Linked DNA regions of Drosophila melanogaster. Changing the gene in region 2 together with the main gene of any one other region gives a genetic interaction. Each region holds a gene or a part of one and is shown on either strand. Other genes may lie near its edges. The genes, in order: spir, Cf2 and fs(1)K10.

What was found.
Region 1: of Cf2 (region 2) and spir, changing one suppresses a phenotype caused by changing the other (phenotypic suppression), as found in Drosophila melanogaster (one study listed by BioGRID).
Region 3: of Cf2 (region 2) and fs(1)K10, changing one suppresses a phenotype caused by changing the other (phenotypic suppression), as found in Drosophila melanogaster (one study listed by BioGRID).

What each region holds. Positions count from the first base shown.
Region 1 is NT_033779.5:20,306,037-20,315,829, reverse strand, and holds the start of spir (spire), read right to left. Parts: upstream 4,612-9,793; 5' UTR 4,011-4,611; coding exon 3,416-4,010; intron 1-3,415.
Region 2 is NT_033779.5:4,874,293-4,886,920, reverse strand, and holds Cf2 (chorion factor 2), read left to right. Parts: upstream 1-3,813; 5' UTR 3,814-4,032; exon of another isoform or gene 4,033-4,056; intron 4,057-4,119; exon of another isoform or gene 4,120-4,428; 5' UTR 4,429-4,528; coding exon 4,529-5,706; intron 5,707-6,448; coding exon 6,449-6,627; intron 6,628-7,724; coding exon 7,725-7,900; coding exon of another isoform or gene 7,901-8,065; 3' UTR 8,066-9,811; downstream 9,812-12,628. Other genes in the region: CG3008 (uncharacterized protein), read right to left, coding at 1,412-2,530, 2,582-3,274; smog, read right to left, coding at 11,837-12,034, 12,359-12,379. UniProt on the Drosophila melanogaster protein: Transcriptional regulator; binds to the promoter region of Cp15. Also binds to its own promoter, thus having a probable autoregulatory role.
Region 3 is NC_004354.4:2,238,431-2,249,684, reverse strand, and holds fs(1)K10 (female sterile (1) K10), read right to left. Parts: upstream 7,548-11,254; 5' UTR 7,377-7,547; coding exon 6,081-7,376; intron 5,229-6,080; coding exon 5,133-5,228; 3' UTR 3,644-5,132; downstream 1-3,643. Other genes in the region: crn (crooked neck), read left to right, coding at 1-1,988; Or2a (odorant receptor 2a), read right to left, coding at 2,191-2,241, 2,312-3,454; kz (kurz), read left to right, coding at 7,783-7,857, 7,926-8,117, 8,179-11,186, 11,249-11,254. UniProt on the Drosophila melanogaster protein: May be involved in localization of sqd to the oocyte during oogenesis.

The DNA.
Region 1 (9,793 bases), about 15 Mb from region 2:
CTTATCATCGTAAATTGAAGCCATTTCAAAACTCCTCCATCTGAAAATGCCCCTCTCTAATGGCTAATTGAGCCCACTGAAGTGCCTAATAAATAGGCGGCACATTGCAATTATCATTTGGTAACTCTTCATTTGGACTCCACCCAAAGCTTTGCCAGACAAAGAGATAAGCCCAAGATTAGCAACAATTTACCCTCCGACCATTTAAAGATACTTCCAAGAGTCTTTCTTCATTTTCCTCCACACAACGGACAACAAAAAGTGCACCAATTTGCTGCTGAGCTTTAGTTTCGTTATAATTTTGTTTGGTTTTTTTTTTTTTAGTTTCGGGCCATTTTTCGCTGACCGTTGTTTGGGTAATTTTTAGTGTAATTATTTAAACATTAAACCAGTTGAGCGGCCAGTTGTTTGTATTGTCGGTGAAAACAAGAAAGTCATAGACATGAAAATAACATATCATCACCCAAGCGGATGATTCGAGGCCAAAAAGGGATTTTTTCTAGCTTTCTTTCCGATCTCTTTGATTACTTCGAGTGAAATAAGTTTGGAAACGGAAGAATCAAATTAAGTGAGATGAATCAAATGAAAAGCGGCGAAAATAAACAGAGTAAAACACAATCAACAGCTGACTTGGAAGAAGAGAACCTACCGCAACAAATGTTCCCTTTCCATTTTTCCTATGCTACTATGCTTACGATTTTCCTGTTTTCCGGTTTTCCGATTTTTCCGAACTGCGCATGACCCATGACCTTGGGGAGAAGGCTCCACAAAATACGTGGGCGACTTTTCCAGTGGAAAATTTGGAATAAGCGAACACCTGCTGGCGCAAGCCATTTCCCAATTTTCTGCGAGCCTGCTGAAAAACGTAATGGCGAGTTTGTGTGTTGACAGATTCAAGCGCCAATTTTATCGGTGCGCCCGTGAAAATGTGGAAAACTCTGTGGAAACTGCTGCGCGCCTAATCGAGGCGCCAGAGGGCGCGGCGACCCGACGGCGCCGCCGACGTTTTCCCATCAAAAGCTCCGTCTCCCACGCCCCGATTTCCATGGTCGCGGGTGCTCCCGAGGGTTCCGATGGCCTCCGAGGGTCTGGAGCCGAATTCGACACAATCAATGATTCGCTGCGCCCGTGGATGCGGTTGTCAGGAGGCGATGGAGCGCGATTTTCAGCCAGAGACCAACGGAAATCGAGACCGAAATCGAAATCGATGCGGCAAGTTCAAAGCCCGCACAGCAACAATGTAACCTGCGAGAACGTTCCACCGATTTGATGTATTTGCTTCGGATAACACAGAAGCAGCCGACCGAAAGCCATTAGAAGGTGCTGAATCTGATGGCATCCACCCGTCTGGTCCGTCTCCCATCTGTAATAACTTGTTTGAGCAGACTAATTGCCCCCGCTGGCGGTTCTCGAGGTTCCCGGGCCAAAACCTTTCGATATCTCACCTAATGGCTTGGATTTTAGCGGCTGAATTAGCGGCAATTAAGGTGTTACAAGGTGATCTCTGTTTGGCCCGAGGAAAGTTCTGATGATAAGCATAAACAAAGGTTACGTGTGAATTTAGATAAGAAATTGACGATCACAGACCTTTAATTACAGAGGTTTAAGAGCTAAGAACATTTTTTAAGTTATTTATAAAAGAAAATTTCTGAATTTTAAGTAGTATACTGAAATGGGTTTTAAAATCCCCTAGGACTTCCTACAGCATTATCAGCCATCTATAGTTCCTTCACCTCCGAGTTACACAGTTCAATTAATACTGTAACTTCCTGTATCTGCGTGCCCTTAAGATTACCCATGTAACTGGCTAATTGTCTATAAGAGCTAACTAATTGGCCACGCTGATACAAAAGCCGGCTATAGGCAGAGTTGGCCTGGCCAAATAGAGATAGACAGGCCCATACGAAGAAAGATGCAATGGAATGCAGTTAATGCTGCAGACCAAAAGCTGAGCTGAGTCACATTAAGGGCCACCTAGGAGAACGAAATCCAAGATTCCCATCACTACCCACTCAGAAACGCATTTTCCAATTAACGTGGCTTATCTAAAAGTCGATAGATTACCGACCTGTATTTTGACAGTCCCCGCGCAGACGAATGATTAAACAATTAGCTGCGAGACAGACTCAGACACGTTCTGTAGATTCAGAGATCGAGAGGCGAAAAAGTATCCCCCCATCAATTACAGCGAATGCAGGGGGAATGCCGAAAGGAAAGGCTGTGATCGTTACACTGGAAAAAATCTACTTTCGTAGATTTGGATTCGATTGTATTGCGGCAAGGAAAAGCGTTCAATCTTCTGCCCAATCCGAACATGACCTGCCTTTCTTCCAGTGATACTTGTGCTCTCCGAGCTACAAAAGAAAGTGAAAAACACTGCTGATAGGGTACTGGGATGGTACCTTCTTCATGGGAGTCGCCGTTTACACTTTCCCAAGCCAGCACGCAATCAGACAGAAGGCAGAAGTGGGGAAAACCCCAATCAAAGCTGGCTGGCTGCATAACTTAAATGCAGAGGTCATCATCGGATGGCGGATAGTGTGGGTTGTTTGTTTGGAAAGCGCTGGGGACTCCGCTGGCGATGGCCGGGCGATGCCAATAGTCAGATGGATGGCACACGGAAACCCACATCACGGCAGATGTCCGAAAATAAAAGGCCGAGAGAAAGAAGTTAACTGTGGCTTATTAACTGAAAATGAAAGCGTTTGCCGAAAAGACAAAGACCCCTCAGCATTCGGAGAGGCATCAGCGCAACCGGTTTTCCGGCCCAGCTAATCACAGCCCCAGTTTTCATCACTGTTACAGTTCCGCATCTGAAGTCAACACCCAACTGACCTCTGACGGGCCGAAATACACATAAACTATATATATATCTTTAGGAAGACTCATAAAAAATAATAGGAAATATTGCTCAAAGGATACAGAACTTAACACAAAGTCGAAAGAATATACACGGGTTGCTAGCTTAAAGGTAGTCAAATTGCATTTGCGTGCAATGTACAATAAATTATTTGTGATTAAAACATGTTACTATAATTGTAAGGAAAAACGACATTAAAATGTCATTTGGGGTTGGCAGGTTCATTAGGTTATCAATCCAAATTGTTAGTTGATCAATGTTGTATTGAACATTTCCACTTCTATATAGATTCTAAAGATTGCCAGTTGTGTGCAGCACGTTAATAAATAAATGTTATAACATTAATAACTATGACTATAGATCAATTTTAGTTCAAATATTTTCAGCATGATTTAAAAAATAATAAATTAAAAATTCAAGGAATAGAAGATTCATACTAAGTTAATTTCCGTTAATTAAACAACTGGCATAAACTGCAGGAATATTAATTTCCGCTAACTGTAGCCGTGAGAAATATGTATGCATATTGATTTTTCAGTAGGTCGGTCTGCTTACCTCTGTTGATGACGCTGCTGTCGCCGCTGCTGCTGGCGCTGTGGTCCGGCTGATCCACAATCACGTCGTGCTGCGGGGGGAGGGGGATCTGCTCCTGCTGCAGTTGCTCCTTAGGCGTCAGCTGATCCGGGCCGGAGAAGTGGACGCTGCCGTCGCGATGGAAGTGCAGCTCGAATCCGGTGGGCAGGGCGGCCTCGTAGTCCGCGGCACAGGTGTGCGCTTGTACGGCCACCTGGTGGTAGAGCCCGGCGAACTGGTGGATCAGGGCCCAGGCCTGGTCCTCGGAGAGCGGCGCCTTAAAGGAGTCCAGGATGTCGTGCAGCGTGACGCACTGTTCTGGCGAGGAGCAGCGGTGGAAGGCTTGCAGGATGAGCGGGCGGGCTTGGCCCGCCTGCTGGGGATGCGCACTGGAGGACATGGCCAGCTGGTCCGCTGGCAGCTTGTGTTGGGCATCGCCGTTGGCGCTGTCCGGCGATGTGGACAGGAAGGCGTCTTCCTTCGCGTCCTTGAACTTTCCACTCGGGGTGGGTGTGGGCGTGGCCTTGACCTTGGTGGGCGGCGTGTCCGCCTGCTCCTCGGCCTGGTGCTCCGTCATTATGTGTGTGGGCGTGTGTGGCTATCGATGGCTTTCAACCCGATTCCACTGCAAACCCGGCACTGGCCAACATATAATTGATTTTTTTGCCTCTTTCGGGTGGGCTAACCTGCAAAATTCGCGGTTTGTTTTTGGTTCGATTTTGGTTTAGTTTTGTTGTTGTTGTTTTTCTGTGTTGTGTGTGGTAAATGGCAAAGGAAACTTTAATACAATAATAACACAACACGAGGGGATGGAATTCGGATTCCCGACGTACACGATTCTAATATTTTGTTTGTCGTCAGCTACATTAAACACAAAGCACAGGGTATAACAAAAAACACATGATTTTCGCTTGAGAATATTTTAAACTGGCGTCACGTTTTTGTTTTCGCACTTCTTAAGTCGGCATTCGCAAATCGCCGTTAGACTCTGCTAGAAATTTCACAACACTGAGGAGATGGAAATCACGCACTTTGCTTTATTTTTATTTTCTTCTGTTTCATTTGCATTTCTTTATTATTTGAAATCTCTCTGTTTTTCTTCGGCAATCGCACTTCGTTTTTTCTCACCGGCTATTTTTTACACACGTCCGTTCGCCGCGAGTTGCTAATCGTAAATGACACTCTTGTGCTCAAATGCATGCAGCATGCAACAATGTTACCAACTTAAATGTTGCCGGAACGGCCGTTCCAACTTGAGTTAAGAGAGCATTTTGTTCGTACAAGAAGAGAAATATCTTCGTTGTGTTCTAAATGAAATTTGAATTGGAATTGAGGGATTTTTTTTTTAATTAAAACTGTTCTTTTGAAGACAGCTGATTCACCTAATAATAAGATCACATCAAAATGTAGAGTCAATTCGACGGAGAGCGAGAAAAAAAAAACAAACAAGCCCGCGGGAAAAACATAAAGTTTTCTCTTTTCAAATTTGTTGCTTCAAAACGAAAAAAGTGAATGGTCTCTTGTTATGATATACTCTCTTTTTCCGTGGAAACATGCATAGCAACAAGATGATGCAACATTCCCAAATGTTGCAGACTAAAGTGTTGCCGACTAAAATGTTGACGGATCAGCCGTTCCAATTGGAGTTGAGGGACAATTTTTATTCGTAAATAAAGAGAAATTTTTTCGTTGTCTTCTAATTGGAATTAAGGAATTTTTGGGGAGCGACAGCTGATTTACATAATATAAACATTGATTACAAGAATATATTGTAGTATGTGCATATATCGAGGGTACACTGTACCTATAAGTACACAGCAACACTTAGTTGCATTGCATAAATAAATGTCTCAAGTGAGCGTGATATAAGATCACCCATTTATGCTTTAAGCTAAGTCAGCATCCCCACGCTGGCCGCTGGCCATATATGCGCATAAGCTCTCTCTCTCTCTCTCTTATACATATATATATACGCTGCTCTTCTGCCGCTGTCGACGGCGGCGCAGTCGCAGTATTTAGGTAAGATTAGACACTCTGTAGAGGTTAAGCGGGCAGAACCGTTTCTGCTACTCGAAGAGATAAGAAGAAATAAAAAGGTGGCCTGACGGCTGCACCCAACTGCAAGGAAAACACGTGTTCTCAATTGGTGGCATATATTGGTTTATTACATGGCGACCGTGAGGCAGGAGCCTGCGATCTGAGGACTACTGAGGAAATGCTGCTAATATTGCCGATTTGATTTGGGAATTCTAAACAGCGACAACAGGTGTGAGAGGCAGGCCGCCCCTTACACCAGTGCGGGAGACCTAGAGACGGGACACTGATGAAAAAAAAAAGAAACAAAAATACTGAGTGAGTAGAGTGTGGTAATGGGCAAACGCGGATGTCAGGAAATCAAAAATAAAGGTATAGCACATATTAAGTGGCTATGATATACAAATAAAACACCGCCCCCATGGGCAACGGCACCGAAATTAACTGCCGAATTAGACTTTCTGAAAGAAAACCTCCAGCAAAGAAAGCCGAATACCACAACTCACTCAGCAAAAATAGAAATAATCAATGAAGAAATAACTGAAAATTCAACATCACCCAAGCCGAAAAGACCCGACGTCTGCATGAACGACTGCCCTCGACCATTGTAAGCCGCAACAGCAATTAGCACGGCATCCTGCGAGGGTAGGATTAGGATAAAGGATAAAGGATTCCACCGGCGCGCCGCACATGACAACAGCGAATGTCTACCAAGCAGACGTTCGAACACCCTGCTCCTGTCGAGCAAAGGGATCTGCCAAGTATCAAAGAGGTAATAGAGGTAGATCCGTCCGCGGGACCAAAGCCCTTGACCATACAAGAGTACAAGGCACGGACTGCAGCGAGGGAGCAGCCACCTAAAAAGAAGAGGGGTGGCCGCCGGATTAAGTTGCTCAGCGCCCGGAGGCTCAACATCGAACTACTGAAGACGGCAACTAATGAGGAAGACCGGCAGCGCTACAAAGAGCGCCTTGCAGCCATCAATCAACAACTTCGTGGTGCGAAGTAAAGCGGCGGGCTGCGTTATACGCCATAGCCTCAACCGCCCAAATATTATATTAATGTTGTCGATGCGGTTTCCGCTGCAACAAAATTACTAACTTATCAGGGACCCATTTCATAACTAACACATTATACTCAGTCCTAAACTTAAAATAAGTAATAATATTGTAAAATTGCAAATTGCAACCGATGTAAACTGAGTATAATGAATTCATCTATCAAGTAAAAATATGTTTAACAACAGTTTAGACCTATTAAAATTTCGAGCTATATTTATATCTGATCGAGATAACAATAATTGACCAATTCTCAAAGTTAAAATTCTATTTGTACTTTTGATATACAAATAAAGACTAATTTTCCCCATATCAAAATGGGACATAAGTCGTGGATACAACCCCACAGTTAAATTCAATGTACTTACTATTTTTGATTTTAGTTATCCTATCAGCCTTTTAACCTGGCCTTAAAACTTTATCAGTTTCACAAAAGATCGTTGAAAAGACTTACATGAGTCGAGCCAATGATTTAGACAAAATCTAATAGAAACTACACCAAAAAGGTACAAGTGCGATTACATCGCTAAAAGGTACATACATGGAATGGCTAAACTTAACCATATCCATAAACAATATTAGAGATGCTTTTGATAAATCCTATAAATGTATTAATAAAACCGCGCTGATCAAAACTCAGACGCTTATTTTTCACATAAAGGTATTGATAACACAATACAACACATTACAAAACCTAATAGTAACAAACAAAAGCAAACTCACTGAAGAACATAAAGTCCAATGCTTCAAAGTTCTCAGTTCATTTGGTAAAAGACTACATAATACCAGCGTTAGACACAGTATTATAATAGAAGTCCCAACAGAACTAACCAAAATAGCAGAATTCGACGAAAGCCAGTTAAGAGACTTGGACGAGTCGCAGCCGTTAGAAGATTTAGATATCGAAAGCGATATCGAATCAATAGAAGAATTAAAATTTAATACCGTACAACCAAATACAAGAAACATGGCCAACGCATTAGAAGCTCAGAGAGCATACGTTAAACAGGTATCTGCCACAGTACCTGAATTCGATGGTAAGAAACTCCATTTAAACAGGTTTGTGACAGCACTTAAGTTGACGGATCTAACTAAAGGAGATCAAGAAACTTTAGCAGTAGAGGTCATAAAGACCAAAATTATTGGCCCATTAAACTATAAAGTAGAACATGCGACAACGATACAGGCAATAATTACCATATTGCAGGCAAACGTAAAAGGCGAATCGCCTGACGTTATAAAGGCCAAATTAATAAATGCCCAACAAAGAGGCAAGACCGCGTCTCAGTATGTTACAGAAATAGACAGTATGCGTAAGCAGCTCGAGGCAGCTTACATAGACGGCGGATTAGACGCCGATAATGCTGACAAATTCGCGACTAAAGAGTCGATATCAGCAATGACCAAAAACTGTGCCAACGAGGCACTTAAAATGATCTTAACTGCAGGTACATTTAGTACATTCAACGACGCAATGGAAAAATACCTACATTGCAGTACAGAAATAACCGGCAATTCAAATACAGTCTTATTCTATAATGGGAATAATAGACGTGGTAATTATAATGCCTACTATCGTGGTAGAGGCAGAAATAATTATAACCATAATTATAACCAGAATTATAACCAAGGTTATAATAATAACAACAGAGGTCGCGGAGGCTACCGCGGCCACGGTAATAACAGAGACGGAGGTAACCGAAGGGGTAACCAAAGTCAGAATAATAATAACAACCGAAATGTGCGTAACGTACAATCGGAAAACAGCCAGACCCCCTTAAGCGATCAACAGTAAAAGTGTTTAAAGTAAACCTAAATCTGAGTATTTTCATTAAGACAAAAAACCATGAAACAAACACAGTTCTTACATTACTAATAGACACAGGTGCAGAAATTTCATTGCTAAAAGCCAAAGCAAAGGAATATAATAATATAAATTTCAGTAATATATCAAATATTACAGGTATTGGGCAAGGAACCATACAGTCTATAGGTACAGTAGATCTTGACATACGCATTCAGGATGTTCTAGTGCCACATGAATTTCATGTAGTACCTGAGAATTTTCCGATACCATGCGATGGCATAATCGGAATAGATTTTATCAAGAAATACAATTGCGTATTAGAGTTTCAAAATAACAAAGACTGGTTCACAATAAGACCCAATAACTTCAGTAGACAGATTAGTGTACCAATTACACATAACTTAGACTCCAACACACTCTTATTGCCAGCTAGATGCGAAGTAATCAGACAAGTCAAATTACTCACTAACGAAAAAACGGTGGTAGTACCAAATCAGGAGCTGCAACCAGGTATAATAGTAGCAAGCACCATTGCCGATAGCAAAAACGCATTGATTCGCATTATAAATACAAATAATAAAGACGCCATAATAGATAGCGCGAAGATCAAATGCGAATCAATGAAAGACTATGACATTTTTACAACACCAGTAGAAAAGGAAAATAGAACTGAAGAAATTTTAAAACAATTAAGATTCCCTAAACAATTCAATAATGAACTAACTAAGTTATGCACCGAGTTTAGCGATATTTTTGGTCTAGAAACAGAACCAATATCGGCTAACAATTTCTACAAACAAAAACTCAGATTAGGGGAAAAAACACCGGTCTATATAAAAAACTATCGCATGGCAGATAGCCAAAAACCAGAAATCGCCAGACAGGTAAAAAAATTAATAGATGATGGAATAGTTGAACCATCAATGTCTGAATATAATAGTCCATTACTTTTGGTTCCAAAGAAACCACTTCCGAATTCCACGGAAAAAAGATGGCGATTAGCAGTTGACTATCGTCAAATAAATAAGAAACTATTATCAGACAAATTTCCACTTCCAAGAATAGAAGATATTCTTGATCAATTAGGAAGAGCAAAGTATTTTTCATGTCTCGACCTAATGTCTGGATTCCACCAGATAGAACTAGAAAAAAGGTATAGAGATATAACGTCATTTTCAACAGCCAATGGCTCATATCGCTTCACGCGATTACCATACGGACTGAAAGTAGCACCAAACTCCTTCCAACGTATGATGACACTTGCATTTTCTGGTCTTGAACCATCGCAAGCATTTCTATATATGGATGACTTAGTAGTAATAGGTTGTTCAGAAAAACATATGCTCAAAAATTTGACTAACGTATTCGAGCTATGTAGACGACATAATTTGAAACTACATCCAGGGAAATGTTCTTTCTTTATGAAAGAAGTAACATATTTGGGTCACAAATGTACCGATA
Region 2 (12,628 bases):
ATATTTTATACAGCACTGTGTTGGCAGCTCCAACTCGTGTTTTTGGTGCGTCTATTTTCAACCTCCATCCCCACGCTACTTGGCTCCCATTCGGTTCCCCTCCCTTTCGACGCTGTGCATCACCATCACGCGAAGTCGGGCCCCCTAATGGCGTCTATGTGTGGGGCGCCGACTTACATATAGCCACAGATATATACATATGTATGTATATTACGCATATATGTATGTGGTGCTGTAGCACTCGTATCACAATTTCAAGAGTCGCTAATAGAAGGCGATTTGTTCAGATCTGCTGTTGCCAACGTCAAGTGGGCTGCACTCAATCAGAAATCAAAAATAAATAATATTTTCCGCTTGCAAGCGCCGCAAATAAACAACAAATAATAGATGGATTCACTGCAGCGTGTGCTGATGATCGAAAGAAAGTTCCATTTTGATTGACGGGTGCACAACAACAGCGAATGCGAATCAATTGAAATTGAACTCAAATTGCAGATGCTGTGGCGGAAACGGAAATTCGCATCTAACGGTTTTCGATTTGAAAGCCAAAAATGCAACGCTGTTTTTGGATCCTCTAACCTTAAAAATAGTATTCAAAGAAATGGGTCACAGAAATCTAGAACTGTTTGCAACTATTATTTAATCAAAACACAGACACAATTAAGCGAAATATATATTGTTTTTAAAGTTCCCTAATGATAAGGAAGAGTAAGCCAAAGCAGACTTTGAATCTCTAGCTATACTGAACGCAACAGAATCATTTACAATATACATATATGTATACGCACTGAACTGCTCGCAACTGGATTCTGACGTCACACTTGAACTACAATATTTTGCAAAGTCCAGTTTCGCAAACGCATCCAGACTATTCTCGGACAGATAGATGTACTAGTTCCGTCAGATCGACAACCCAGAATCGTGTGCACTGGGTATGGCATTTTTATACGTAATCATCTGATCGGAGATTCGATTGAACCGACAAATCTCCCAATTAATGGGGAAAACTGCGCACCAAATGAGTTCAATTGTCGGGTTAGCTGATTCGGAAGATGGGCGTGTGGCCATTGAAGCCTGACATTTGCATTAATCTTAATTGATTAATAACGATTCAAGATCAAAGCCATTAGGAGAAATATCCGTAACAACATGAGTGCAACAAATGCAAATTGGAGCGCACTACAAAAAAAAGAGTTGAAGGTTACCCAAAAAATATTTTAAATAAGTTCTAAAATACAAAGCAAAGGTTTCCATGGGTGGAAAAACAAAACAATTTATTCTTTTTTTCGAGGGATATTTTATAGTCAAGTTACTTGACTACAAGCATCATATCTTTTACTATGGAATCTCTGTGACCAAACTGTTAATATCAATTTAAAACTAAACTAAATGAGTCCACACTTTAGAAGTTTCAATGGTTGGCAGTTTTGTTAATCTTTTCCTTGTCGTCACTATCATTCTCATTGTCATCGGTCTCTTGATCCTTATCCGTGTCGGTTTTGTTATCGTTATTATCCTGCGCTTGCTGCAGAGCCTTTTGAGCAGCGCGATCTTGTTGTGATTTTTCCCAGGCCAGCTCAAAGGGATACTCCAAGGGTTTCAGTTCGTCGGGGCACTCCTCCTGATTCGGAGCAGTGGCTTGGCTAATGGAAGCGCCACGCGTGTGGATCTGCTCCAGCTGAGCGGCGGTGTGGACCTCTGAATTGAGACCCGTAATAAACTCGAACAACTGCTCCTTGGTGTAAATGTTGGGCAGGCCGCGTCGTTCAAAGAAGTTAACAATGTTGCCGCAATCCCTCATCAGGAACTCCAGGGCACTGGGATGCTTCGGTTCGACACTCTGGGCCACGTCAATAAACCAGCACTTGCCCTCGAACCAGAGTATGTTATATTCGCTCATATCGGCGTGCACCAGCTTCGCCTCATTGTACAACTTGTGCATCGCGGCCACAATCTCTTCGTAGGCGCAACTCAGCTCCGCGTCGCTCAGACGGGCATCCTTTAACTTGGGCGCAGCGTTATGATTGTCACCGATGAACCGCATTACCAGCACGTGCTTCTTCAGCACAACAACGTCTGGAACGTTTAGGCCAATGGCTTGCATCCTCATCAGATTATGCATCTCCTTCTCGGCCCACATATTGATAATCACTCGGTGGTTTTGTTTGCTAAAGCGATCCTTGAACCGATAGTCATCCTTGATGTATCTATCGCGCTGCTTGAACTCGTTGAGCGTGGTTTTAAAGATTTTAATGGCACACTCCCGGGGCAAAAGCTGCGGTGGAACGAGCACACCACTCTGGTGACCATGCTCGTTGCTGCCCGTATAGTTCGCATCGGAATTGGCGTGCAAGATGACCGCCTCCTTGCCCGTGGATATAATGCCGTTGATCTGCTCCAGTATTTGGTTATTGATCAGCTTGTACAGCAGCAAACGTGTACCCGCATCCAATCCCATCTCCGCGGTGGCCACTTTCTCGTGCTTGTCGGAGCGGCCTCGTCGAGAATGGGCTCGTAGTTGGTTAAACACCTGAAAGGTACGTTTAAGTCTTATTATCGCTTAAAACTGACCGCTTCTAACCTTATTGGAGAGCTTCATGTCGAAACCGGCAGCATCACCGGTGGGAAACTCCGGCGGAAAGGACATCACGCGCTGGGCATTACGCACGGCGCACAGCTGCGGATCGTGCTTTGTTATCATCTCGCCCTCCTTGTTAACTTTAAAGCCGCAGCGAGGTATGGAGTCAAGCTGCCGTTCATTGTCCTCGAACCGATCCCAGTCGTGCTTCTGTTGCTCCAATTCATCCTCTTCGTAGTCATCTTCCGCGGTGTCGTGCAAGAACTCTGCATCGCCATCACGTAGGAACTTATTGAGGGTAACAGTGACCTTGGATTGCTTGTTTTGCTGCCGCTCGATACGACGCAATTCCTCATTGTACTCGTGATCGAACTGGGACTGCAACAGCTGGGCAATAACTGCATCGCTGTCTTCCGGCAGCTGAATGTCCTCCGCTACGTTTCCTTCGTCATTGAGGAGCGCAGAGTAATCCTCCCAATCCTCCGCATCACTTTGGATACTCTGCGCATTGGGCGCTGGCGGGGATGAGGCTTGCGACCCCCAAACGGGTGCTATCTGTTCGTCCGGTCTTTTCAGCTTCTCCGTGTGGCGCTGCAGCTCCTTGTCGTGCAACTTGTGGGCATATTGCTCCGACATTATATCCGCCAGATTCACCTGCTGCACAGGCTCGCTGGTCTTAACCCATGGCGACGACATTCTGCACAATCGAAAGAGAGTCAATATAGATCACAATTTGGTGCTGTGATTCCACAAACCTATTGGAACTTGGCTTGAGAAGATCGAGTTCTATATCGGTGGTAATTGTGGCAGTTTACAAACAAGCCTCTGTCCAAATCCTGACCAACGGCGGGTTGCAGGTGGACTCTGATATGTCCGCGGTGGAGGACAAGTGACAGTTTTGGCACTATAGATGACCAATATAAGGGGAAGCCAATTGCAACCCTTGTTGCAATAATATTTCTATTGTATTTCTCCAAACAATCCTTTTTCCAATTGTTGTGAAATTATCAGCTTATGAAAGTATCGAGCTATCGCAGAACGATAGACCCGATAAATTTGGAAATAGAAGAACTCCTAATATCGAAAGCTTTGCTTACAATTTTTATAACGTTAAGTTAAAGTTATATTATACTTTAATTTGCATACTTAGAAAACGTTTTATTTGTCATATTTTAGGAAAAGGCAGAAAAATATATCGTTAGCAAGGGCGTTGCCACATCGTCAGTTCTAGAGCGACGTTGCCATCGTAGTTTCGATGCCAGTAATCGATACTTTTTGTTGTAGTTGTACATTTTTCGCCAAAAATAATAATAAAAGTGAAAAATTTTTTTTGTTAATATACGTTTATTTGTTGTACAAAGGAGAAAATGTTATTAAACTGATTGGCCGCCCCAGCATTTTCGTGACCCCCGCTCCAAATACAACAAAATCGAACGGCCGCCAGCAACAACAAGGTGCAGTAAATATTCAGTGCGCTGGTAAGAAAGATGGAAACAAAACGAGAGACCGAAAAAGCAATCAAAATAGAATTCCGAATTTAGAATATGACAGACTGAAAAAAATTTTCAATTCGAACGCATTGCCGCTGCTGCTGCCCGCTCCTCTTCTTCTTCATCTCCTCCTCCTTCTTCCTCTTCTTCGCCAGCCGCTGTGGGGGGACATTGGGGGTCAAATGCAGAAGATCGGGACTGAAGATTTCGTGAATTTGTGATTTCCGAATTCGTTCCTGCTAATTTGCGACTGCCAGACTCAAAGAACACACACACACATACACACCAGCACACACCCACACGCTTGCACATACATTCGCTTGTGGCCGCCTGTAATTATGATTTTTATTACTCCTGCAGCGCATATCGCCTTCTTTAACCGCCAATTGCTCCTGCTCCTGCCCACTAACCAAGTCAAACCAAAAGAAGCGATTACTCTCCAAGCGCCAGCGGAAGTGAAATGATAAAGTCCACCACGAATCCACAGGAACAGCGTCTGCCACGCCCCGAGGATCAGTCGCCAGCGCCGCCGCCGCCGCCCCCCTCCTCAGCCACCACCTCCACCGCCGCCCCAGCCACGCCCACGCACCAAGTGGCCACCGTGATAGCCAACATGGACACCCTGAAGACAGCCTTTCTGCCCAATCTCAGCATGGACCCCAATGTGCACGTGTCGCCGCACTATTGTCCCATGTGTCACCAGCAGTTTGAGCGACCGCAGCACGTCGCGGATCACATGCAGCTGTGCCACGGGATCACGCTGAACGCCCAGGGAGCCATTGCCACGCTGGACGGCGGTCATCCGCAGGCACAGCAGCACCCCAAGCTCAGCCACCCCTGCTTCAATTGTGATGAAAAGTTTGGCAACGCCGTCGATTTAGACGAACACCATCGGCTGGCCCATCAGACGCCCGCCTTCCTGTCCCGCTGCCTTATGTGCAGCATCTATGGCATCCACTCGGCCACCCAGCAGCCCAACGAGTACAAATGCACGCAGTGCGGCTCCATTTGCACCACCGCCATGCTGGCTGCCGGACAGCAGGGCTTTATGGAACAGCAGGAGGCGGCGGTGACGCCCGACGATCAGCTGCCGGCAATGGCGCCCCGTGATATGAGACTGACGCCCGAGGAGCAGCACCATCAGCAGCAACTGCAGGCGGAGCACCACCATCAGCAACAGCACCAACAACAACAACAGCAGCAGCAGCAGCAGCAGGAACTGCTGGAGCAGCAGCAGCGTGAAATGCAGGAGCAGGCGCAACAGCAGCAGGTGCACCATCACCAGCAGGATCAGGATCTCGCCGGCGACCAGGTGGCGCTGAAGGTGCCACCACTCACCGTCAAGCTAAACAAGAACGCCAACGGTGGCGCCATTGTGTCGCATCCGCAGGTCATTATCAAGGAGGAGCCACTCAGCCTGAGCGACAGTGGTGATGTTGTCAACTCTGTGCCTGTCTATGCCATACAAGCCAATCCCGGTGTACCCGCTCCGGCCAGTTCGGGTGTGCTAGTCGGCACACAAACGGTACCTGCCGATCTGGCGCACAAGATCCGGCACAAATGTCCGGATTGTCCAAAGACCTTCAAGACGCCCGGCACGCTGGCCATGCACCGCAAGATACACACAGGCGAAGCAGAGTAAATCCATTTTATATGCATCTTACGGACTGGGTATTCCGGCAATGATAGCTACTGGACAGCGACTTTAAAAGCTCTAGTCGAGTAACTGGCATTTGATGATCTTATAGATATTTTAATGATAGTAGTTAGTTTGTTAGTTAGTTAGAAGTGATGGGATATTGTCGTGCAAAGAAGAATTTATAAAATATTGATAGATATAGTATAGATCGCAGTGTAATCTCAACAAGATTAAGTGTCTTTGCATCCAGGAAAGCTTTCAGTTGCAATGCTTTAAGATAAGAATGCTTCCTAGCTCATTGCCGGATTACCTGTTATTCATTCCAAGGCATTGCCCGCTCTAGCTCAAAGGGGGGGATACCCACGTAGTTTTTTGTGGGTCTTCCTTTGCGACTGGGGCGGCGTGATCGCCGAACTAACCCCAATAATCTTACCACCTTGTATATATATATATATATATATTATTTTTGATTTCCTTCGGGCCAGCTGGGCGCATGGGCGCGCCCTCGAAGCTCTGGGACGAGGCCCATGCGTTCGTGTGTCGTTTGTTTTGCAACTTATTTTTAAATCGAGTGTTACTAATAATATAATTTAAATTTCTTTCTTTTCTCCCGCGCCCACTCTCTCTCTCTCTCTCTCTCTGTATCTTTTTCCTCTCCGTTTCTGCGCGGTATTTTGTGAATATGAATATAAATAATTGTTAACTCTCGAATCTCCACTCTCCGAACCGCAACTCCGACAGCGCCACGCCCAAAGAACGCCCCTACACGTGCTCCTACTGCGGCAAGTCCTTCACTCAATCGAATACACTAAAACAGCACACTCGCATACATACAGGTGAGAAACCATTTAGATGTGGCTATTGTGGCAGGGCGTTCACTGTTAAGGATTACCTGAACAAACATTTAACGACTCACACGGGTGAGAAGCAATATTTTTCAAATCAATTCAGTCAGTCAATCAGCTCTCAATCAACTCAACCAATCAATCGACTTTTCAATCAACCAATCAATCGATCAGTAAATTGTCACCTCAGCGTGATGAGCAAAAAAAAAAAAAACAGCAATACTCAAAAAAGAGAAACCTCTGTATGCAAGTCCATTTCCATTTGCCATACACAAACTCGCTCAATCTCTATCAATCAATCTCGATCAATCAGTACCAATATCAATCTCTCTCACCTCTGCCAGTCGTCCTGCCGAAGCTCGATCATCAGACTCGAGCCGCCGCAGCGGCTGCGCAGAAAACCACGCCCAAAAAAGGCGGCAAAAATCCCCAACCTAATGGCCAAGATTCAGATCTGGCCAGGATGTCACTTGCTAGATTATATTCTCCGTTAATTACAGTCTAAATAATCGAATTATAGTAATTAGTGAGAAATTGAGATGATTAATGTGAAATCAGTGTGCAATTAAATGAATAATATAACGTTTCGATTATGTGTGCTTCTATATTAAGATCTTTCATCTTGATTGCATTGCAAAAGCTTAATTTTAGATTATAATCAAGCGTCTAGTTCGAGTTTCTATTCGATTTCCAGCAAGTGACATTCGGGGCCTTGAATTTTTGCCGCCTTCGATTAGCGACAAATAACGAATCGTATGAGTCACAGTTTACATACCCTCACAGAACGAGAAAATATGAAAAGATCATCAACTATTTTTCAGCAAAAGCTTTCTGTGAGGGTAGCCAAGCAATATGATAATCCAAATCCGTATCGCCCGCCGCCTCATCTCATTACGTAATAATATTTCTCGAATGCATTTTAACAAACACCAACCAAATATATACACACATTTAATATATAATCAATATATATATATAGTTTGATTACGTGCAAAACCTATTTGATATGCATACATATCTACTCTACCCACACATCCACCACTCTCAGTCAATCAATCAATCAATCAAACCTTTGGTACTGCACGCACCAAGCAAACTGGCTAAGTGCTAGCGACATGTGCTAACCGAGTATCCCAACTTTCTCCGTTTCGCCAATCGTGGCTGTTTTGCAGGAGAGAAGCCGTTCCACTGCGGTTACTGCGAGAAGTCCTTCAGCGTGAAGGACTATCTGACCAAGCACATACGGACGCACACCGGCGAGAAGCCGTACACCTGTCCGTATTGCGACAAGCGCTTCACGCAGCGCAGCGCCCTCACTGTGCACACGACCAAGCTGCATCCGCTCTAGGGAAGGCCGGGCGGTGGCCGCCAGTTACCCGTTCCTGCCCCAGCCGCTCCTCCTCCTCCTACTCATCCTCCAAATCCTTCTGGTCCTGGTGCGCCGCCGCCGTTGTCCGCCGACACGGATACAGATCCCAAGAAGCCATCTGCGGCGGCTGCGGCATCGGCTTAGGACGAACTGCAGCGGAAACGGGATGAGCAAACCATAAATGAAAGACCATTTCAAAGACGAGACACACTCACGTAGACGGGAGTTATGCAACTGCAGCGGATGCAACAACTGCAACCAACGACTGGCAAATCTCTTCGCAGTGCTGCTAGATTAAATTACTAAATTAGATACATACCTTCAGTTCGGTTAACACAGAAGCAGAAGCAGAAACAGATTTGTACTAAATTAGCATACAGTTCGTAGAATGTTTAAGTTATTGCAATCGATTTTTGATTCTTATTACTATTTGGTTATGTAGATGTTTTGCAATTTTTATTTTTTATACACCTATGTATATCGTATATAATATTTTGTTATTCTATGAGATTTTATATGGTGACTCCATAGCGCACACTCACTTACGCGCGGCGCTATACAGACACACACACAAACACACACACACCCAAAACTACACACAACACACATATATTATTTATAAAGAGAGAGAAAATATTTTTACTCATATACTTTGTGGCAATATTATTTTTATTACTTCCTTAAATTGTTTGTAAATGTTACTGAAAGCAGCAAAACAAAAAGAAAAAGGTAAACTCATGTCTACGCGCAAAACTTAAATTATTTTTATAAATTATACATCTATTTTATTCGAACTCAAAACAACACAAAATTATTTATTTTTACGTGAAAGAACGTTTTTCAAAATTTCGACTCGTAGCGGAAATGACAAAGGACCAATACGAAATTTAGTCATTTCTCAATTATTTGCACACGAGCAGGATCTCGTTTGTTTTGGCTTTAAAAATTTATTTACTTTTAATTAACTAAATGATCTAATCATTTTAGCTTGTTTTTATTGATGAATGTTAACCATTGTTTATTTTTTAAATTATTTAAGTTGAAAGCGCTGCTTTTGTTTGTTAAACTAAACTAAACTAAACAGTGAGATTGTATAAAACTTTAAAAAAAAAAGGAATAACGAAAAACATAACTAAGAAATTAATTTTACAAAATTTGCATTTTTTAACGCAAAACAAAAAGTATTTAAGGCAAATCGAAATGAGAAATCTACGCTAAACGCAACACAGCTTTATGCGCCAAACTAGAAGATTAAAAAAAAATTAACATAACGATCTACACAATTGATACTTTTGATAAAAAGAAAGCTTCAAGTTGTTTTTGTAATATATATAAATATGGATTGATCATTTTTACGACTACTTAAACGCGTTTTTTTAAACCAGCAAATGATTACTTGCAAGAGTTGTACGTACTAAAATCGACTAAAACTTAAACTAAAACTGTAGCAAAACCAAAACCATGTACATTTTTATAACATAGTGTTATATAATTATAAAGTATGCAAATATATAAACCTGTATCTAATATTAATGCATAATACACTCAAACAAATTGTCTACCTAATGGCACATAGCACAGCAACAAACGATGCGCAGCGCATGTAAAACCAAAATAAATTCTAAGTACTAAACTATTGTAATTCTTTAAGTTTTAAATAAACCGTGAAGAGTTGACGATCAAAAGCAAACAGCAAAACGCTAAATGCAGCAAAAAAAAAAGAAACGCCTAACTAACCGCAACACTGAAAAAAAAAACCAATTAACTCTGCTGTAAGTGATTACCAATGAATGAGTCATGTTGAATGCGATACGTACTAAATAGCGACTAACTATTAGTATTAGATCTTAGCCACGAATCCAAAAACGAAGCCAGACAACAGACACACAGAAACAGAAACACGAACATGAGCAAGTGAGTAATTAGAAATAAAATTGTAAAATTTATTATTATTAAATATATAAATAGATATTACGATTATAAATGTATGTACGTGCAATCTAAATTTACGTGACAAAATCTAGCAAATATTCGAGCAATATTTCAATTAAAACTATATGAAAAGGAATTATATATATACAAAATAAAGTCCAACCATGTAGAAAGATTATATATACAAACCGAACAGGATCTTTTATATATGTATATCCTATATGTAGATGGTTTCCCAGGTCTGTCTCGAAAATCAAGGACACATTTGATGATTTAGTTCAGTTTATTTAGGTTTTGTTTTCCATTTTAATTACAATGAACGAATATTATGAACACTATCACACTTTCAAAATGTATTCGGTTTCACTTTTCCAATCGTTTTAGTTTTTTGTAGTTTCCTTTGCGCCGAGCCACTAATTTAGTTTTTCTCTCGTTTTTGTTTTATTGTAATGCTGATTACACTCATATATATATGTATATATATTTATATATAATATAAGTTAGTTATATGTTTTATGTATATGCCATAAATATTTTTTTTATACACACACTTTTGATCAAACGCAACCAAAAGTTGGTTTTACTTTTCTTTTTTCTTTTATAATTAATTATCATTTTCGGTTTTGTTCATTCATTTTGTTTTAAATGCTCAATTTGTTGCATGCATGCTGTAAGTTTACCTAATTTAACCATTTGCCATGTTTTAATTTCTATATATTTGTTGTAGTGTATATAGATATACTTTTCATAACCCTTATAAATGCCCATGTAACTGTACTATATGTTTTCTATGGACTTGTTTTCCCCCTTCTTTTTTTTTCTCTCTTGTTTTTTATAACGAGCTCATCCAAAATTTATTGCGTACATTTGAAATGTTTTCACTTTGTGTTTTTTTTTTTTCAATATTCTAACACGATCTTTTTTCGAGAATAACGAATTTAAGATGTTCTTGATTGGGATCTACAAATTTCGGAGGAAATCAGCAGCTAGTAGTGAATAATACTTGAGTTTTTGAGTTTGTTGGGCTGGGTTGAAAAAAAAAAATATGCACTTTAGCCTCTATTAAGCATTTTCCTATGGTTTTCACTCTCGTTCGGGAACTGTGTGTTTTGAAAATGTAACAATTTGCGCTTTCGTCCTCGTACATTGTGTGTATTTACAGAAAGTCTAGCCCATTTTTAGATTTTGTATGGGAATGAGTGGAAATTACAAGTGTATAATATATAATACAAATACACTTTAGTTGGTAAGATTAGCAAGACGTAAGACGTACGATAGTTAATGAGGGGGGAATTGCTAGTTTTATGTTAATGCCTATAAGCTCAAATTTACAACTGATTATTCGCTGATCGAAAATGATCTCAAGATCTCTATCATTTGTTTAGCTTTAGTGTGGATAGTGTTGAAAGGTTGACTTGAAAGCAAATGGTTAGTAACTAACTGTCGAGGAACTTAGAGGTAAACGAAAACGCGTGTTTTAGGAATGGGTTTGTTTTTCTTAGTGTATGTGGCCTTGTTTTTACAGTTATATCGTTACCTACACAGGTGGGCTCTGTTTTACCGATCTAAACGTTTGAACAACTTTGATCTATCAGTGATCCTAATCAATCGAAATCAATCGAACTCAAGACTGACAGAAATCAACGTAAACTAAAGTAAAATCGTCTAAAAATTTATCAAAACTTTATAAAACTTCTTGGCTGCTTTCAAGGTTCCTCACTTTACGTTTCATTGAAAAATAAAGTAATATTTGTTATTGTTTGTGTTTGGTGAGTGTTTGTTGCATCTCCATTTGCATCAATCATTTTCCTGCTGGTTTTTTTTTTCTTTCTTTGCGAAATTAAAGTAATTCTTTTATTGTTTGTGTTGTTGCGCTATATAATAACTATTTCTCACATATTATCTACACATACCAACGTGTATCGTACCGTTTAATACCTATATACAATTCTCAAATATCCGCCATGAACCAGCAAGGACTCCCTACTTCGAATGCGAGACCACGGAGTGGGAGACCATCGAGTGAGAGAGCATTGAGTGGGACACGCCGGAGATTTCCGCATAGGTATCCGTGGGTCCTTCGGCACTGCACACCGAATCCTCGGGCGTCCTGGAAGGTTCCGCCTCGGTGATCTCGATGTCCTGATGATGCTTGTTGCTGCGGTGTTTGGCACTTAGAGCCTGCGAATTTGAGATATTTTAGTGGGTCACATGGACAACTGGTGGATATGTGTTTTCTCGTTGTAGTTTCGTGTGCAATCTGTTTTCGATAAGACTTATGTGGTGCTATCTATGGGACGGACACATGCACACACACACACACACACGCACAAGCTGGTGGTTTCGGGTTCATTGGGGAACTTTGGGTCTAAGTTTATAGACAAACGTGCGAGAAATTCTTTTGATTTAGTCGTTTTGTTTTGGATTTTAGTTTACATTCACAACACAGATATTTTAGCAGGTTAGGTTTAGAGGTTTATGCTAAAAGCAACCGAAAATTCTTACCTTATCCTTGCTGCCCTTTTTCTACATTGAACATTGGTGGTTATTGTTTTGTTTGGTTTGGTTGTGGTGGGTTTCGAATATATTGTACATAGTCATGACAAGAACAATGATATTTATAGATGTATTAATATAAGTGGCAAACAGTACTGCGAGTTCACATTGGAGGATCAAGAGAAGTACAGATTCATAGACGGTTAGAGAGACGGGGGAGAGAGAAAGATCTAGGGAGCGTGGGGATGGGCAGCAAAAGGTTTGGTTTCGGATTGAAGA
Region 3 (11,254 bases), on a different chromosome or scaffold from region 2:
CGCCGCCGCCAAAGCAGAAGATCTCCGATCCCGCCGAGTTGGCAGACTATCAGCAGCGGAAGCGAAAGACCTTCGAGGACAATCTCCGCAAGAACCGCATGGTAGTCAGCCATTGGATCAAATATGCTCAGTGGGAGGAGCAGCAGCAGGAGATCCAGCGGGCGCGCTCTATCTGGGAGCGGGCGTTGGACAATGAGCACCGGAACGTGACCCTCTGGCTGAAATACGCCGAGATGGAGATGAAGAACAAGCAGGTGAATCATGCTCGCAATCTGTGGGATCGGGCAGTGACCATCATGCCGCGAGTCAACCAGTTCTGGTACAAGTACACCTACATGGAGGAGATGCTGGAGAATGTGGCAGGGGCGCGACAGGTGTTCGAGCGCTGGATGGAGTGGCAACCGGAGGAGCAGGCCTGGCAGACCTACGTCAACTTCGAGCTGCGCTACAAGGAGATCGACCGGGCACGGGAGATCTACGAGCGATTTGTCTATGTGCACCCGGACGTGAAGAACTGGATAAAGTTCGCCCGCTTTGAGGAGTCTCATGGGTTTATCCACGGCTCTCGGCGGGTATTTGAGCGCGCTGTGGAGTTCTTTGGTGACGACTACATCGAGGAGCGCCTGTTCATCGCCTTTGCACGTTTCGAGGAGGGTCAAAAGGAGCACGACAGGGCGCGCATCATCTACAAGTACGCTTTAGATCACCTACCTAAAGATCGCACACAGGAGCTGTTCAAGGCCTATACGAAACACGAGAAAAAGTACGGCGACAGAGCGGGTATTGAGGATGTGATTGTTTCCAAGCGCAAGTACCAGTACGAGCAGGAGGTGGCCGCCAATCCCACCAACTACGATGCCTGGTTCGACTATTTGCGCTTGATTGAGGCTGAGGGCGATCGGGATCAGATCCGTGAGACGTACGAACGGGCCATTTCCAACGTGCCGCCTGCCAATGAAAAGAACTTCTGGCGACGCTACATTTACCTTTGGATCAATTATGCTTTGTACGAGGAGCTTGAAGCGGAGGACGCGGAACGCACGCGGCAGATCTACAAGACCTGTCTGGAGCTAATACCTCACAAGCAGTTCACCTTCAGCAAGCTTTGGCTGCTGTACGCCCAATTCGAGATCCGCTGCAAGGAGCTGCAGCGAGCACGCAAAGCTCTGGGCTTGGCCATCGGCATGTGTCCCAGAGATAAGCTCTTCAGAGGCTATATTGATCTGGAGATTCAGTTGCGTGAGTTCGAGCGCTGCCGCATGCTGTACGAGAAGTTCCTGGAGTTTGGACCGGAGAATTGTGTCACTTGGATGAAGTTTGCCGAGCTGGAGAATCTGTTGGGCGACACGGACCGGGCGAGAGCCATTTTCGAGCTGGCGGTGCAGCAGCCGCGCCTGGACATGCCAGAGCTGCTGTGGAAGGCGTACATCGACTTCGAGGTAGCCCTAGGCGAAACAGAGCTAGCCAGACAGCTTTACGAGCGACTCCTTGAGCGGACGCAGCATGTGAAAGTGTGGATGTCGTTTGCCAAGTTCGAGATGGGCCTCAGCCACGGCGACAGCGGGCCAGATGCGGAGCTGAACGTGCAGCTGGCAAGGAGAATCTATGAGCGAGCCAACGAGATGTTGCGTCAGCTGGGAGACAAGGAGTCGCGTGTTCTGTTGCTAGAGGCATGGCGCGACTTTGAACGCGACGCCTCCGATTCGCAGGAGATGCAAAAGGTAATGGACAAGATGCCGCGGCGCATCAAGAAGCGGCAAAAGATCGTCTCGGACAATGGCGTCGAGGAAGGTTGGGAGGAGGTATTCGACTACATCTTTCCCGAGGACGAAATGGCTCGACCCAATCTCAAGTTGCTGGCTGCAGCTAAGATGTGGAAGACACAAAAAGACAACACGGTGGACGACCCGCCCGCTACAGCTATTGCATCTGAGCCAGAACCTGCAGCTGATGCTGCCCCAGCGGATACGACGGATAGCGGTGACTGATTCACTTCCGCCTAAAAATCGTTGCTTTTGAACAAAGCTAAATATCTGAAATTGCAGATTTTTCGCTTTATTTTTGGATACCTTAGTAATAAACCACTTAAATAAAAAACTATAATGATCTTTTTTTTTGTTATATTATCTGATATATTTTTCTGCTATTGTGCTTTAAAATTTTTCTCCCCAAAAAGAGATTATAAAGTTCTTACTTGGCCCTCAGCAAGAGTGTGAAAACAGAGTATGTGAACCTCATGACCTGGAATCAAGTGAATCATATCATATTTGAATCAAATCAAAGGACATTTGAATATATAATTGTGCCTTGCCTGCTCGAAGGTCTCCAGCGAGAGTGCGATGTAGTTGCCTGCGTAGATAAGAGAAGGCCGCTGCGTCCTGGCCAGGGTGAAGAGCAGTTCGCGCTTGAACTTGGGCAGCTGTTCTATCCAGTTGCAATCGTAGAAGGCATCGCACAGCGCCTCGCTCTGTGTCCGCATCCTGTCCCCAAAATAGCAGATTACAAACACCTCCAAGGTGACGGCCGAGAAAAATACAATCGAGATGATCATGGCGGTGTGGTCGTGGTCATCCGCTACGTACAGGAAGTGCATGGCGACGGTACACTGGACGGCGGCGGAGCAGACGAACTGGGCCATGCAGGGCACTGAAAGGACCCGCTGAATGATCTCCCTCAGCCGATGGACCCGCGCCAGATCGCGGATGCACTCGATGAGTTCCTGGTACACCTCCTCCCGCCAGGCTTCATATGTCTGCCCTTTATTGGACTTTTCCGTCCTGCAGCCAATCCGCCGCACCCTCAGCTCCAAAGCACGCATATGACCCGTGAGCAGGCAGAGAAACGCAGGCGGATAGGAGTCACTAGCGCAGTTCTGTATAGCCTGCACTATCAAGCCGAAGAGCTGGTAGATATTGATGAGCACATAGTTTCTGGTGGAGTGCATCCAGTCAACGCCGAACCAGGCCGGATACAGGAGCTCTCGATCCGGGCGAACGACCACGCGGACGCAACTCAAAGTAGTGCCAAATACGAAAATACTGGCAAAGGTGCGGAAAGTGCCCTGTGCGATATTCACTTCCTTCCTCAAGGCAGAAATCTCCTCGGGATCGCCCACCAGCCGGGCTCTAGCGTCCATGAGCCTTAGGAGAGAGCGAATCTCATGGAGCTGCTTCCTCACCATGTACACATTCGCAAACTTCAAATTGGCCACAATATCGGTAATAGTTATGGTCAGGTTCTCGCACAATCCGGCCATGTTGGTGGTGAACAGCAGCCTGGCCAGCAAGCTCAAGGGAAACAGCACGGTGACCACCAAGTTGACCGTAATGGAGTATACCACGTAAAGCAGGCTTGAAACGCCCGGAGGACGCATCAGGCCAGTGAGCTCCCAAACGCGCCAGTGGTAGTACACAGCACTGTGGGTGTTCAGTTTGAAATCCTCTTGCTTCTCCATTGTCTCGGTTACCTTTGGGCAAATCCATGGGTTCTATTGCCTATATACTCTTGCGATTACCAGTGATTGCGCTATTAGCTATTAGATGGATTGTTGGCCAAACTTGTCGCTTAAGTGGCTGGGAATTGTAACCGTAGGCCCGAGTGTAATGATCCCCCATAAAAAGTTTTCGCAATGCCTTTATTTTTTGTTGCAAATCTCTCTTTATTCTGCGGTATTCTTCATTATTGCGGGGATGGGGAAAGTGTTTATATAGAAGCAACTTACGATTGAACCCAAATGCACCTGACAAGCAAGGTCAAAGGGCCAGATTTTTAAATATATTATTTAGTCTTAGGACTCTCTATTTGCAATTAAATTACTTTGCTACCTGAGGGTTAAATATTCCCCATTGATAATAATAATTCCACTATATGTTCAATTGGGTTTCACCGCGCTTAGTTACATGACGAGCCCTAACGAGCCGTCGGTGGTCTATAAACTGTGCCTTACAAATACTTGTAACTCTTCTCGTTTTGAAGTCAGCAGAGTTATTGCTAATTGCTAATTGCTAATTGCTTTTAACTGATTTCTTCGAAATTGGTGCTATGTTTATGGCGCTATTAACAAGTATGAATGTCAGGTTTAACCAGGGGATGCTTAATTGTGTTCTCAACTTCAAAGGCAGAAATGTTTACTCTTGACCATGGGTTTAGGTATAATGTTAACTGGTTGGGAGATTGGTGCTATACTAGAGTTTTTACGTTGGGTCCCCTAGGCTCTACTATTCCGCTAAGTGGGGCTGCTTTGGCGTTACTTGTCAGGTGGATCCGGTCATGAAGATCAAGAGCGTGATTAATCTACAAGTCGGTAAAGAGAACAGCGGAATTGGGTCAGGGACGGGGTTGGGTGGGGAAAAAGAACACAAAAACAAATCCGTAGATGCACACCATCGAGCACACGTTCACAGAGTGATCTTAATTTGTAGTTTTTAAGAATTAATTTAAAAATACAATCAAGTGGTGTAATCTAAGGCCTACAGTGTGATTTATGCCAGAGTGCTTAGGATCCGGCCACTCTGTTTCAATTATGTCGCGCCCACGCACTCGGGCAACGAATAGGAAAATAATTTATATATATATATATATCAATATATATGCATACATATATAGGTAAGGGCGTGTCATAAATTGTGTACACATACTTGAAATGGCTGCAACTTAGAATTGAACAACAAATAGTTTTCGAATAGGAAACTGGTACGTTACGTTACGTTACGGTTACATTTCAATACTCTACTTTACGTTACGCTAGGTTACGTTAGACAAGTGAATCGATTCGCAATCTAAATTTTTATCGCTATTACTAGAGTTTCGCCCACATTATTATCGCTGGGTTTGTATTTGTTGCTACATTATCGTTCTAAGCTCAGTTCTCAGTCGCAAAAGCAACGTGTGACAAAGGCGGCGCCTCCTCGGATTACGATTGTGTATACGTATATCCGATATAGGAGTCGGGGTTTTGAGTTATATTCGTCTTCAATTGTCAGACTCTTGCTGTTGCTCGCTGTTAGTTTTAGTTTTGAATTGCTCATTGGTTTAAAGTTTAAGTTTACATTTAGTTCTGTGAGTCGACCGACCTCTTCTTTAGTCGGTTCGATTCGATTGATTCGGTATTCGGATTCGGTTGCATTGGCTGCCTAGGGATTTGGAATTGTTGCATCTTTAGCGCTTCCGGCCTTAGGGGCTGCGCTCTGACTTGAAATTGCGTTTTTGTCTTTGTCTGACTTGGCATCCTGCAAAAGAAATACGAGAATTGCCAACGGTGTTCAATAGCAAGGTTGTTGAGTGTGTAAAAAGAGCTCTCAGATCTGTTTTCGCTATTAAATGCATTCTGCGAACTTCTCTTGGCTATTTCCAGATAACTACGCCCACGAACATTAATCACTCAAATCATTATCATTTCATATGCAATGAGTTTCATAAGTTGGGTTATATCTGCTAATTAAGTAACTAAATTGATGTTCTGGCAGTTTAAAATTCATTAAGTTCGCTTTTCACATGCCAACCAAATTGGAAAATGAAAACAGCCATAGGATTCAGTACTGAGGCTCGTTCAATTAAGAATATTAAGTTACTAAGAGTGCATTTATGAATCTACTACGCCTGCCACGATCGAACAGTACAAAATTCTATTAGTTTTTTAAATTTGTATACAAGGTGGCAGTAAACACATTGTATTGCAGTTCTAAATAGTTACACAATTTTGTTCAGTTCCTAATAAATCTATGGTTGTAAATATATGCCAATAGTTTCTCTTTTGCGGATATATATCAGTGCCAAGGGAACAACCGAAGGTGAAAATAGATATGACAACAACCTTCCGCAGGACTGCAGGATAATGCGAGAGAGTGCATCAGGTTGAGACTTACTTTTTCACTTTCTCTGCTCTCTTATTTTTTTCCTACCGCCCGGCAAACGCAACAAAGAGGGACGGGTGGGGGTTACGGATCAAATCAGGGGTGCAAAGTGATTCCGGATTAAGCCGAAACTGTACCCGGAATCGGTGTGCCTCCCTGAATAGAGCTTCGGATGGGACACCTGTTCCAAGGGAATAAGGATATGTTGGGGGGTCTCTATATGCTCACCTTGGCCTTGACAGTGGCTGCCTCCTGCTTGAGATACTCTTCCCGCGCCGCTTCGTAGAGACTAACGAACTTGTCCCGCTGGCCCTTGTACTGAGCGAAGAGCTCGTCGTCTTTGTGGCCCTTCAATCTGTTCTCGATGTCCACCTTCTTGTCGTGCTCGCTGCGTATCTCGTCCGTTACCCAGGGCTTTTCGATGGGATACTGATTGATCAGGTTCTTTAGTGTCTTTATGCTGCTCTTGCCTTTCACCACCTGCTTGATTAGCTTGGGATTGGGCTTCATTATCCGGCCGCCATTCATGTTCATTGGTCCATAAGGTCCGACCGGTGGAATTCCCCGCGGCGGCATCCGTGGACCCATCATGTGCATGGGCGGTGGGACACCCATCATAGGACCTGGACCGGGTCCGTTGCGACGCATAAAGAGCGGTGGCGGCGGCGGTGGTGGTCCACCCATGGGGCCCATGGGTCCGGGACCGCGCATACCAGGCACCGGTGGCGGGAAAGGCATTTGCGGGTAAGGTCCTCCAGGGCCCATCGGTCCGGGTCCCCGTGGTCCGGGGCCCATCGGACCCATTGGCGGACCCATCATGAGGCGTGGAGGAGGACGGTTCGGAGGCGGCCCGCGTTGGAATCCATTAAAGCCACCGCGAATCTGATTGGGATTGTTGCCCGGATGGCGCTGCCAATCGCTTCCGTTCATCTGATTGTTGAAGGGCTGCTGCGACTGGTTCATATGATTGTTGTTCTGGTTGTTCATCTTGCCCTGCTGCTGGTTCGGACTGAGATGCTGCTGCTGGTTCGAATTGGGATGCTGCTGCTGGTTCGGACTGGGATGCTGCTGCTGGTTCGGACTGGGATGCTGCTGCTGGTTCGGACTGGGAGGCTGCTGCTGGTTCGGACTGGGATGCTGCTGCTGTTTGATGCCCTTCATAGACTTCTTCTTGGGACTGCCTACCTGATTGTGTTTGAATCCTGGTGGCGGGCTGCTGAAGTCAATGTACAGGGGATCGCTCGGCATTTGGCTGGAGGAAAACATCATCTGATTGTTACCGTTGACCCTGTTACCATTCCCATTTCCTCCTGGTCCGGAGTTAATTTTGCCCGAACGAAACGGTTTTCTATACGGAGCCGCAGCTGCGCGGGGATTATTGTTGCAATTATTATTGTTGCTCTGGTTGTTGCGGTGCTGCAGATTTGGCTGCTGCTGTTGCTGAAACTGTTGCTGCATTTGGTGCGGGTGCTGCTGCTGCGACTGCATGGTCCAGTTCTGATAGAATTGGTTCTTGGACACCATTGCAGGTAGCTGGATTTCACTGAAAACGGGGGTTCAGGACTCGAGCAGAGGAGCCAAGCCGAAACGACAGGCGGGGAGCAGATGGATCTAAAATGTTGCACGCCTATTTGTCACAAAAACTTATATTGAAAATATTACGATGAATCGATTGCGATAACGTTTCGATACCAGTGCTGTCGAAGGAGTGTGAACAACTATAACAATCAGTTTTTCCCACTAATGTATGTTTCCACTAACACAAATGTAACATCACAGCACATTTTAGAGTATCTCAACTTTTGTTATCGCCTGCGCTGTTATCGATAAGCGTACTTCGCACGTGTGATTTAAATCAATGTTTATATTATTGCCCAAAGTTAATTCTGTTACTTTATTTTATTAACTATATTGGTAAAGTAAAGTAATCATGGGCAAGAAGGTGCACAATGCCAAGGCGCGGCAGAATCCACAAACAATTGTGGACAACTCGGCCGTGAAGAAGGTAGGTCATCCGTCGGACCACACACTCGAATCCGCTTTCTTACCCTTTCCAAATCCAATACTCTACAGATTCAGATCGATGTGGATGCTGTGGCCGGCGGCAACCAGGTTGGCTACGATGAGGCCAACGCTCTGGTTCTGCCCTCCGAGAAGCGGGCCACCAAGATTAAGGTGGACAAAGTGCAACACGTGAAGATCCTTTCCAAGAAGCAGCGCAAGCACCTCCAGGCTATTGTGGACAAGAAGAAAAAGAAAGAGGGTGTAGGTTTTTATTCAGTGCTAATATAAAACTGATATTTAATTGAAATCTTTTCTAATTTAGCGCGCTCAGCTGTTGGGTGACCTTGCTGCCGTTCAAATTCCGGAGGAGGAGCTGCAGCAGTATACTTCCATTAGCCAAGTGCAAACCGTGGGATTAAAGCGTCTACCCACCCTTGACGAGTATCTAGCCAAGAAAAAGGAAAGACAGGCCCAAGTTTTAGCTGAAAAAAGCTCGGCGTCGGGTCTCCGCGTAAATGCTATAAAGGGCTCCAAGCGCAAGCTTCTCGTCGAAGAGGAGGAGGAACTACAGGCCAAGCGAAAGAATCCGAATGTAATTAGCGTGGAGGAAGATGACGAAGATTCTTCATCCTCTGATGAGGACGATGAGGAGGCACCAGCTCAATCCGCTCCTATTGCCATACCCACTCCAGTGTCTATAGCTCCACCGCAAATCGCTGTTAAACCACCCATTAAAAAGTTGAAGCCAGAGCCTAACCCACCTGCCTGTATCCACCAGACTGTCTATGTGCCCGTACATCGGACAACAGAAGTTCAGAATGCCCGTCTTCGACTGCCTATCCTCGCGGAGGAGCAGCAGGTGATGGAGACAATCAACGAAAACCCCATTGTGATCGTGGCTGGTGAGACTGGCTCTGGAAAGACTACCCAGCTACCGCAGTTCCTGTACGAAGCGGGGTATGCCCAGCACAAGATGATTGGAGTGACGGAGCCGCGGCGAGTGGCTGCTATTGCCATGTCCAAGCGGGTGGCCCACGAGATGAACCTGCCGGAGAGCGAGGTGTCATACCTCATTCGCTTCGAGGGAAACGTAACACCAGCGACGCGCATTAAATTCATGACAGATGGTGTGTTGCTTAAGGAGATCGAAACTGACTTTCTGCTTAGTAAGTACTCAGTGATCATCCTGGACGAGGCGCACGAGCGCAGTGTTTACACAGACATCCTAGTGGGTCTCCTGTCAAGGATCGTGCCCTTGCGTCACAAACGCGGGCAGCCGCTGAAGCTGATCATTATGTCTGCCACTTTGCGGGTATCCGATTTTACAGAGAATACTCGCTTGTTTAAGATTCCGCCACCGTTGCTTAAAGTGGAGGCTCGACAATTTCCGGTGACTATTCACTTCCAGAAGCGCACACCTGATGACTATGTGGCGGAGGCTTACCGCAAGACCTTAAAAATCCATAATAAGCTTCCGGAAGGCGGCATACTAATTTTTGTGACGGGACAGCAGGAGGTCAACCAACTGGTGCGCAAGCTGCGACGTACGTTTCCGTATCATCATGCGCCAACCAAGGATGTCGCTAAAAATGGAAAGGTATCGGAGGAAGAAAAAGAGGAAACAATAGATGATGCGGCATCGACTGTGGAGGATCCCAAGGAGCTGGAGTTTGATATGAAACGAGTTATACGTAATATTCGTAAATCTAAGAAAAAGTTCTTGGCGCAAATGGCGTTACCCAAAATCAATTTGGACGACTACAAGCTCCCTGGTGATGATACGGAAGCAGACATGCACGAGCAGCCGGATGAGGATGATGAGCAGGAGGGACTAGAAGAGGATAACGACGATGAACTAGGCTTGGAGGATGAGTCGGGAATGGGATCTGGTCAAAGGCAACCTCTGTGGGTCCTGCCGCTCTACTCGCTCCTCTCCTCGGAGAAGCAAAACCGCATCTTCCTGCCCGTTCCCGATGGCTGCCGGCTATGCGTGGTTAGCACCAATGTGGCAGAGACATCTCTCACCATCCCGCACATCAAGTATGTTGTTGACTGTGGTCGCCAGAAGACGCGTCTTTACGACAAACTGACGGGTGTGAGTGCTTTTGTGGTAACCTACACGTCTAAGGCCTCGGCGGATCAGCGTGCTGGACGAGCGGGTCGCATCAGCGCCGGACATTGCTATCGCCTCTACTCGAGTGCCGTGTACAACGACTGCTTCGAGGACTTTTCCCAGCCGGATATCCAGAAAAAGCCCGTCGAGGACCTTATGCTGCAAATGCGCTGCATGGGCATCGATCGCGTGGTGCACTTTCCCTTTCCCTCACCACCGGATCAAGTGCAGCTGCAAGCCGCCGAGCGGCGATTGATCGTGCTAGGTGCCCTGGAGGTCGCCAAGACAGAGAATACAGATTTGCCACCAGCCGTTACTCGTTTGGGTCACGTTATCTCCCGCTTTCCCGTGGCGCCGCGCTTTGGAAAAATGCTGGCTCTGTCCCACCAGCAGAACCTACTGCCCTACACCGTCTGCCTGGTGGCCGCACTTTCAGTCCAGGAGGTGCTAATCGAAACGGGCGTTCAAAGGGATGAGGATGTGGCACCTGGCGCGAATCGGTTCCACCGCAAACGCCAAAGTTGGGCGGCCAGCGGCAACTATCAGTTGCTTGGAGATCCTATGGTCTTATTACGTGCCGTAGGAGCTGCAGAGTACGCCGGATCGCAGGGCCGCTTGCCAGAGTTTTGTGCTGCGAATGGATTGCGCCAGAAAGCGATGAGCGAGGTGCGAAAATTGCGCGTCCAGCTGACTAACGAGATTAACCTGAATGTTAGTGACGTTGAGCTGGGTGTGGACCCCGAACTGAAGCCTCCCACCGATGCCCAGGCGCGTTTCCTTCGCCAAATTCTATTGGCCGGCATGGGCGACCGGGTGGCTAGAAAGGTACCTCTGGCAGACATCGCCGACAAGGAAGAGCGGCGGCGATTAAAGTACGCATACAATTGTGCTGACATGGAGGAACCAGCGTTCCTGCACGTCTCATCCGTGTTGCGTCAAAAAGCACCCGAATGGGTAATCTATCAGGAGGCATACGAGCTGCAAAACGGCGACTCTACCAAGATGTTCATCCGCGGCATCACCGCCATTGAGCCGGAGTGGCTTCTTCTATACGTTCCCCTGCTCTGCAACATACGTGAGGTGCGCGAGGATCCTGCTCCCAGATTTGATAAAACATCAGGGAAGATCTTCTGTCACGTGGATGCCACGTTTGGCAAGTCGGGGTGGGAGCTGCCTCTCGGGGAAGTGGAGATGCCGCTCAGCGAAAAGGCCTGCTGGTGAGTGTCTTTTTAAAGGTTGGGTATTTAGATAAGTGATCATACTAATCATGTGGTTTCAGTTACTT